Linked DNA regions of Canis lupus familiaris. The main gene of each other region encodes a partner of the protein of the gene in region 2 in a complex. Links are inferred from orthologs where the notes say so. Each region holds a gene or a part of one and is shown on either strand. Other genes may lie near its edges.

Region 1 (4,094 bases), on a different chromosome or scaffold from region 2:
CTCTGCCTCTTTCTCTGTTTCATAAATAAATAGATAGTAAACTAATTACAATTTCCGGTGCTCTGTTACTGTGGAGTTCCTATCCACAGCAACACTTATTCTCTACTTAGCTGAGAATTTTAGGTAGCCCAGGTGGCTGGGTGGTTTAGCGCCGCCTTTATCCGGGAGTGTGATCCTGGAGACTCAGGATCGAGTCCCACATTGGGGCCCCTGCATGGAGCCTCCCTCTGTGTCTCTCATGAATAAATAAATAAAAATTTTTAAAATGTGTGACTTTAATCTCCATGAGACATTACACGTATGTTTTTAAAGATTTTGTTTATTTATTCATGAGAGACACACAGAGGCAGAGACACAGGCAGAGGGGGAAGCAGGCTCCCTGCAGGGAGCCCCACACGGGACTCCATCCCAGGGCCCCAGGATCACGCCCGGAGAGGAAGGCAGATGCTTAACCGCTGGGCCACTCAGGCGTCCGGAGACATTATATTTTTTTGATTGCTGTATACCTGATGCCTACCACAGTGTCAACAGCATCGTAGTTGCTCAATAAATATCAGTGGAATAAATGGATAGCTTTCCTTTGAACTGAATGTCTTTATATAAATCTGTGTTAAATTACTGCGATGATTTAAGATTATAATTTCAACGACCATGCGCTCCTAAAGGAGAACGCGTCTCGCACCTCTTGCCTCTTAGGTGTTGGGACAGGACGGAGATGGAGGCTGAGGAAGCCTGGCCAGTTGTACCGTGGAGCACGCATCTGCAAATCCTGGCACATCACAGTATTGTGTTGTCCGCTTGCATTAAAATGATGGCCAAAAAAATAAATAAATAAATAAATAAATAAATAAATCAAGAAAACAAAACTCCACGAGCAGCATGTCCGCATATCTTCGTTCACCCATTCCCTATGTTATCAGTCTTAGGTCGTGACCAGCGCCCCAGTCGAATTCTGCGTTATTTGGTTCTAAAACTGGATCTGTCATAAATTATTTGGCCCTTGGCACTCACCAGTAAAACAGACCCTCTGGCTTCCTAACCTCTGAGGAGCACGGTGGAAATCAAATGGGAGGAAAAGGGAGCGAGAACTTTGAAGAAGATACCAAGGTACGACGTGGGATGCTACTAGCTTCACGCCGCGCATCCCTACTACCCGCCCCGAACGCCGCCAGGAGACCGTGCGGACTGCGCAGGCGCGCCCCTGCAGCCCCGCCCCCCGCCCCCCCCCCCCCCCCCCCCCGGCCTGGCGCCCGGCGCGCGCACGCCGCCCGGCGTCCTCGCTCCCGGGGCGTCGCGTCGCGTGCGCTGGAGCCGCCGAGGCCGCCCCCAGCACCGGAAGTGACCCTGGCGGGTTTGCCTTCAAATTCTCGGCGAGCTGAAGCGGCGCCGGGGCTGGTGGCGGTTGGACATCGCCGTCCTGGGGCGGTGAGCACAGAGCAGAGTGGTTGGGGCTGCGCAGGGCCCGGCCTCCTCGCCGCCCTGAGCCCGCACGGCCCTTCCCCTCCGCCTGGCGGTGGGCGGCTTCCCACGGAGCCTCGGCAGCCGCAGGTGAGTGTTCACCCCCGACCCCCCGGGCCCGCTCGGCGAGGCGCTCGGGCGGCGACGAGCCCGCCTCGCATCCTCCCCTGAGCCTGCCCTGAGCCTGCCCTTGGCTGCGCCGGGGTCTTGGGTCCTTGCTGTTGTCGCTGACACCTGTGGCTCAGGTGACGCGTCCCCTACCTGAGGAGTGCTGTCGAGCCTGGGATTCGGGGGGCCCCTGGCGCTCCCCTTGCTAGGCCTGTGTCATCGGAGGAGTCTCTCATCGGAAAAAAACGTCTTTCTTTATTCCTTCGCTTTTTTTTTTTTTTTTTTTTTTTTTGAGCGGCTGTCCTCGGAATCTGCCCACGCACCCGCCCCAAACCCTCACCCCCGAAAAACCTTGAAAACCTTGACAGCGGGATGCAACTTCTCTTACATTTTGTTAGATACGAGTGATATTGTTGAGGATATGCTTTATTCTGGCGCCCCGCGTCCTCTGGGAGGCTTTTGGCCCTTTTGGTCCAGAGTTGGTACCTTTTGGCAAATGTATCCCTCGAAACATTTGTTTCAGATCGTATATTTCTAGGGTGACGAAGTTGGAGATAACGTGGATCCTTACGTGCCCCCTACAGCGGATAGTCTCAGCCCTTATTTAATCAAAAATAATTTTCTCCTTTTAACTGCGAAGTGCTGTTTTATATCAGTTACTAAATTTCCAGCAGCACAATTTTGCATCCTTTTCTCCTGAAAGCATTCACTTCTGTGTTTCTCCTTGAAATCCTACCTTTAGTTACTGCTAAAAACATTCCTAATGTTTTAGAACCTCTGCCACAACGATAGAAAACCACCGTGTCAAGAAAGATTCTTGTAAAGTTCACAGGCTTCTAAATGTCTCAATGTGTAGCCGCATTGTCTTTTCCAAAGGAGATGATTTTTGTAATCAGGGAGTTCTCACACAGAAATAACTGCAGAACTCTATTTTGTAATTTCTATTAATTTGTGGCCTGTATCATGCCTTAAAAAAAAAATTTTTTTTTTTTTTTTTAAAGCAGTGCTGATCAATTTCCAACATTCCTAAACCGTGGAAAGCTATGTAAAGCTCCTCTAGGGCATTGGTTATTCAAGAAGCTTTTACACTTTACAGATTCAGTACTCAGCATACTATATATACAATGGATTCTGCATCTTATTTTGAAACTGATGTCATAGTTTGACAAATACTAAGGATTTGGGAATCTTGTAGAATTCACTGTACTAACAACATTGTTGAATTTCTTTTTTTTTTTTTTTTTTAAGATTTTATTTATTCATGAGAGACAGAGAGAGAGAGGCAGAGGGAGAAGCAGGCCCTCCCTCTAGGAACTGAATGCAGCACTCGATCCCTGCACCCAGGAATCACAACCTGAGCTAAAGGCAGTGTTCCACCACGGAGCCACCCAGGTGTCCCGACATTGTTGAATATATGTTTGCGACAATGGTTTAGGTTTTTCTTTTTGGCTATGTGATTGGTAAAAAAAAAAAAGATAGTGTATCAAATCAGTATAATCAATATTGACAACATGATAAATAGATATGCTTATAGTGTTTATTGCTATGGCTTGAATATGGCTTTTATTTTATTTTTTTTAAGATTTTATTTATTTATTTGAGAGACAGAGAGCACAAGCAGGGGGAGTGGCAGAGGAAGAGGGAGAAGCAGGCTCCACTCTGACCAGGGAGCCGGATGCGGGGCTTCATCTTAGGAACCTGGGACATGACCTGAGCCACCCAGGTGCCCCTGAATATGGCTTTTAAATTACATCTTAATTGTTATATTGACTTATTTTTGTTTTGTTCAGGGTAAACTGAGAGGTTATCAAATACATATTTATGTATTCTTTTTTTCCTGAGCAAGCACACTTGGATAACTTTCTTGTTCTTCTTGAGTATTTATCATATGGTGATTATAAAGGTAGGAAAAATGTATGCCATGCTATAATTGGTCATGGATCACTCATTTATTGTATATATTTATAATTGTTAGTGACTAAGTTAGCATTATGGTTGTTTTCATATCCCAGAGATGAACTTTCTGAACATTGCTTAATAGTATTGTCACTTTTAAAGTTACATACACTTGATTTACTGAAATTCCTTCAAGAAAATCTATGAATGAGGTTCATTTGTTTTTGTTTTAGGACATCAGTTTTACAGATAAATATTTTCAACATAGGTGTTGATTTTTGTAGCCTGTGCTTAATAATATGCCATGCTTCTCCTAAGTGAAGCAAATACACCTAGAATAGATCAATGATGTTCTATTAAACTTCAAGGATATAAAGGTTTAAGTCTTATTTTTGTTTTCAGTGCAATTCCTTGGAACTGAGTAGTTACCCAGTTAATATTTCCTGAGTGAGTGACCTATGCACATTACAGTAAAAACTGGAATATTAGTGGAACCCAGCCTGACTCCCTAAAATATTAAATGGATATGATATTCTTAGGTGTGGAATAGGGAAGGCCTCATATTTTTTTTGGGGGGGGGGGGAGTGTAGGAATCTCAGAACCTCAGATGTTTGGATCTATTGCCTATTCTT
Region 2 (4,177 bases):
GGGAATGTGCACAGGGGCTCAGTGGGGCCCTCTCTCCAACTAGGGCTGCCACAGGAGCAGAAGGGGTCAGCGCTGGGGGATCCTCCTGGGAGGAGGGCCACTGCCCTTCCAGCCCTGTCCCAGGAGGCCTCCTGGAGGCGTTGGGGAGGGTGGTGGGCTCAGTGGTGGCCAAGCCTGTGAGGCTTGGGGTCCTGGCACCTGGAAGCATACAGCTGTCGGCCGGCCCCTGAGGCATCCGCAGGACAGCTGGGAGCGTGGCTGAGATGGAGGGGATGGGCTGGTGGGGCCCACCCCTCTCCTGTCTCCCTTAGCCTTGGAAGAGGGGGGTGCCTCCGCTCCTCCCCCAGCGTGCTCTGCACTGGCCCCTTCCGGCAGGCCGGGCACTCTGCTGCCCCCAGCTGGCCACACTGCCTCTTGGCTCAGAGGGGCCAAGACAGGCCAGTCCTGGGCCTGAGCGAGCTGAGCTGCGTGGCCAGAGAATTCCCCTCCAGGCAAAGAAACCAGGGAATAGTTACAAATTTAATAAAATTGACCTTATAAATTACACCAGCAGCCCCAGGGCGCTCTTTGCTGCCCCAGGAAGCGGGAGTTGGCAAAGCTGGGCAGCCGCTGCTGGGGAGAAGTTGTCTGAGAGCTCGGGGGCTGTGCAGGTGGCTGGTGGGCCAGCGCTGCCGCCTCCAGGGTGGCCACAGGGCTGCAGCGGGGGCTGGGCAGAGGCTCCTGGGCCCAGGAGCGCACAGGGGACAGGATTAGGGGCTGAGGCCAGGCCGAAAGCTCCTCAGTCCAAACTGGCCATGAGTAGGTGCAGCTCTCGGAAGGCGCTGCCATGACGGCCACTCAAACTTGACTTGCTCTTGACGAGGCCACTGATGCTCTTGAGCTGCTTGTAGCAGAGCCGGCACTTGTGTAGCCTGTGGGCAGAGAAGTAGTGCACGAAGGGCTAGGCCCTTTCCTGCTGAACTACTCCCGCCCTCCTCTGGGAGGCTGGCCGAGGCCCAGGGTACAGGACCCACCCAGGCCAGGCCACGGACAAGCCCAGGCACAACCTCCTCTGTGGGCTATTCCAGCAGAGCCATCAGCAAGCAGGCTGGGCCCCCAGACCTGTGTACCCCAACATTCACACCCCACCTGGCCCCTCACCTCTCCTCCCGGCTGATGTCTACACCCACAGAGGGGGGTGCTGCTAAGATGTCAGTGATCAGGGGCAGAAACCGCTGCAGGATCAGCTTCAGGGAGGTGCAGCCGGTCTGGACATAGCTTCAGAGGCAGATGGACAGAGCCACAGAGAGAAAGATGGAGAGCAGGGTACACAAAGACAGAGGGGGTAGGCAGGGGGCCAGGGGCAGCACAGGCCTGTGTGCACCATGGCTTCCCACCTGCAGGGGACAGCACTGCTACACACCCACCTCCCAGGGGCACTGGCCTTGGGGGGTCCTTCCCATTGTCCCTCCCCGTCCCTGTGGTAAGGCAGGTATGGCTTCCCTACATGTACCTCTCATACTTGCTCTGCAGAAGTTTCTCGATCTGCGGCAAGACCGTGGTGCACAGATCCAGCTTCCACAGGGAGCTGAGGAGAGGACCAGGGACAGGTACCCTCAGCACCTGGCTCCACTCACTCGACCCGCTCCGCCCACCACGCCTACTTACGCTTTCTGGTTGACAATGTTAAGGAGGTCCACGACCACGGACAGGTCATTGATGGCCACAGCTGAGTCCACTGACGTCTATGCAAACAGAGCACCTGTCAGAGGGGCCTGGAGCCCCTGCCCGGGGAGTGGCGTCATGATGGGCTTTGTTGTGGGGTGTTAACAAGACTGTAGCTAAAATGATGGGTGAGGCCAGGTCCGTAAAGAAGCGCTCAATAAATGATGACGATGATGGCATGAAATCAGCCAGAGTGGTGACAGGGGCCCCTCTGCCCTTGTGCAGCCGCTGTCTGGGGTCAGCCCAAAGCCTGGGGGAAAAGTGCTTGCCTTGATGTCACCCGTGGTCCACACAGCCCGCACGGTGTCCAGGTTCTTGTGGCGGCTGGTAAGTACCACACACATGGTGTCATGGCCTTTGCGGATCTGTGACATGGCGTCCTCGTCGACCAGCTCCACCTGCTGGGGGATCTTCACGGCCTGCGTAGGACGAGTGCCCAGGTGCCAACGGTGACGTTCTGTCCTTGCCCCACAGGCTTCCACCCTGCCCCGGGGCTGGGCCCCCACTCACGGGCAGGAAGTCAGACGCCTTTAGCCCGATGGGCTCATTCCGGGTAGCTGGGATGATGGCAGGCTCAGCCTTGGGCGCAGGAGTGGAAGTGACAGCCGGGGGCCGGAGCAGGACCTCGAGCTGTTGGGGCTGGAGCTCAGTGGGTGGCCAGCCTGAGGCCCCCTCTCCGCCCACCCTGGCACGGAGGGCCCCTCTCCCAGCCCTACCATGCCCTCTCCACCCAGACATACATTTGGCACCGGGAACTGCGAGTCCGTGGCTGGGCTGGGCTTTGCCACCTCCTTGGCTGTGGCCATGTCTGGAGGCAAAAGGGAAAGATCTTTGGGTCGGGTCAGGCCAGAGGGACTGGCTGGGGAAGAAGGCGGGGCTTATGGTGGGCCTCTGGGCTGCATCTGTTAACTGGGGGGATGAAGCAGGAGCCAATGGGGCAACTGGGGAAGGAGACAGCAGCAGTGTGTATGTGGGGGGAGAGGTGGGGAGACTCCTGGGGAGGCTTGAGGGTGGGGGCTAGATGTTCCCTCCCTTTCTCCACCCACTCACCCACAAATCTGGCAGAAAGCAGGTGTCAAGCACTGCCTGCAGATGGGAGCCAGGGAGCTCCCAGGAGTGGCCTGGCCCCTCACTGGGAATGGAGTGTGTGTGCTGGGGTGGGCTGGCAGTGAGTGCATGGTGAGCAGGAAGCACAGGAAACCCCACGTGCAGGGGGAATGAGAAGATGGCCCATTGAAGAGGAAGCCAGGTGAAGGGGAGGGCTGGTCTGTGGGACAAGGGTGCCCCACCCCGGCTTCTTCTCCAATCAGAAAGCAGATCATGTTTTCTCCCAGCAGCAAAACCCAAATCCCCAGCTAGGGCCTGGCTTCCTGCTCCCAGACCCCAGGGAGCCCTGCCCCTCTGCCTCCACCCCCTCCCCACCTGTGGCTCTCCCCAGCTCCTCCCTCTCCTACAGGCCCTCAGCAGCTCTCTCTCACCAGCCCCGCCCTTGCCTCCACGGTGCTGTCCCATCTACAGACAGTCCCATCTACAGTCCCATCTGGCTGCCTCCTGCCCTCCTCACTAGGGTGCAGGCTCCTGAGGACAGCACCTGCCTGCCTTGCTCATGCACCAGAATCTAGGGTGGAGCCCAGCGCACAGTAGGTGCTTTTAGGTGAGCATAGGAAAAAGATCTGGTGGGAGAGAGGCTGGAGCTGGTGCCCCCAGGAGGCCAGGCTCTGTACTCACCGTCCTCAGGGGGTGCTGGGAAGGGCTCACTTCTTCGGGGTGGTGTCCGACCTGCAGAGGCAAAGAGGGCTGGGGACTCTCCCGTTGGCCAGCCCGGGGTCCTGCCTGAGCCTTAAGGGCCAGGCTGGCCTGGGACACGGGGGACGGGAGGTGGCTCTCTGGTACACACACAGCTGCAGACTCGTGACCCTGTTCCCGGTCCCAGGAACCCTCAGGTCTGCCCCCTCCCATCTACTTGCCCCCATGGGGCCTGCCTTTGCTCAGGGCGGGCTGCCAGGCCTCTTCTGGGGCCTTGAGGACCTGGGAACGGAGCCGGGGCCCAGGTGTGAGCTGGGAACCCAGCGTCGGAAACAGAGCGACATTGACACTGTCCCCGACAGTGACACTGTCACTGACATTGACACCGTCTGTCTCTATGCACAGATGGGACGTTCGGCTAGGTGGGTGGGGGGGCGGGGGGCAGGCCTCACTGATGCTGTTCTTGGGCTGGAAGATCTCGTTGTACTCCTCGGTGTTCTGGATCTCGGCCCGAGACTCCCGCTCGTCCCGGTCGTCCTCGCTGCTGGGGCTTCGGCGCTCACTCTCTGAATTCTGCTTCACCCTGTGGGGCAGGGCCAAGGCAACGGGAGGCCAGCCCAGTGAGCTGCAGCTGGGCTCCCCCAAAACCTCCCCAGTGCCAGCCTGCCTCCCGAGCCCTCTGGGCCCTGAGCACCCCACCTCTGAGGCTTGTTGCAGGCTGTGCTGG

What was found.
Region 1: the proteins of KATNB1 (region 2) and KATNA1 are in contact, whole or in part, in a crystal structure (PDB 5OW5), measured with the Mus musculus proteins. The link is inferred for Canis lupus familiaris from reciprocal best matches to the Homo sapiens genes KATNB1 and KATNA1. Residues at the interface, in NP_083081.2 of Mus musculus: Leu485, Val486, Asp487, Glu488, Ala490, Met491, Gln493, Ile494, Arg495, Gly497, His498, Met501, Phe502, Val504, Leu505, Thr506, Arg508, His509, Leu512, Asp513, Val515, Arg516, Trp519, Thr521, Asp542, Leu543, Ile546, Gln549, Lys550, Leu553; in NP_035965.2 of Mus musculus: Leu5, Gln6, Ile8, Val9, Val12, Arg16, Ala19, Leu20, Leu21, Gly22, Tyr24, Tyr31, Tyr41, Leu50, Lys53, Trp54, Gln56, Val57, Glu60, Ile61, Val63, Glu64, Gln67, Val68, Asp70, Ile71, Thr74, Leu75, Ser77, Phe78.

What each region holds. Positions count from the first base shown.
Region 1 is NC_049222.1:40,682,080-40,686,173, reverse strand, and holds the start of KATNA1 (katanin p60 ATPase-containing subunit A1), read left to right. Parts: upstream 1-1,294; 5' UTR 1,295-1,548; intron 1,549-4,094. UniProt on the Homo sapiens protein: Catalytic subunit of a complex which severs microtubules in an ATP-dependent manner. Microtubule severing may promote rapid reorganization of cellular microtubule arrays and the release of microtubules from the centrosome following nucleation.
Region 2 is NC_049223.1:58,005,258-58,009,434, forward strand, and holds the end of KATNB1 (katanin p80 WD40 repeat-containing subunit B1), read right to left. Parts: coding exon 4,150-4,177; intron 4,034-4,149; coding exon 3,903-4,033; intron 3,484-3,902; coding exon 3,433-3,483; intron 2,513-3,432; coding exon 2,445-2,512; intron 2,335-2,444; coding exon 2,215-2,334; intron 2,124-2,214; coding exon 1,974-2,123; intron 1,725-1,973; coding exon 1,648-1,724; intron 1,568-1,647; coding exon 1,493-1,567; intron 1,258-1,492; coding exon 1,141-1,257; intron 912-1,140; coding exon 779-911; 3' UTR 501-778; downstream 1-500.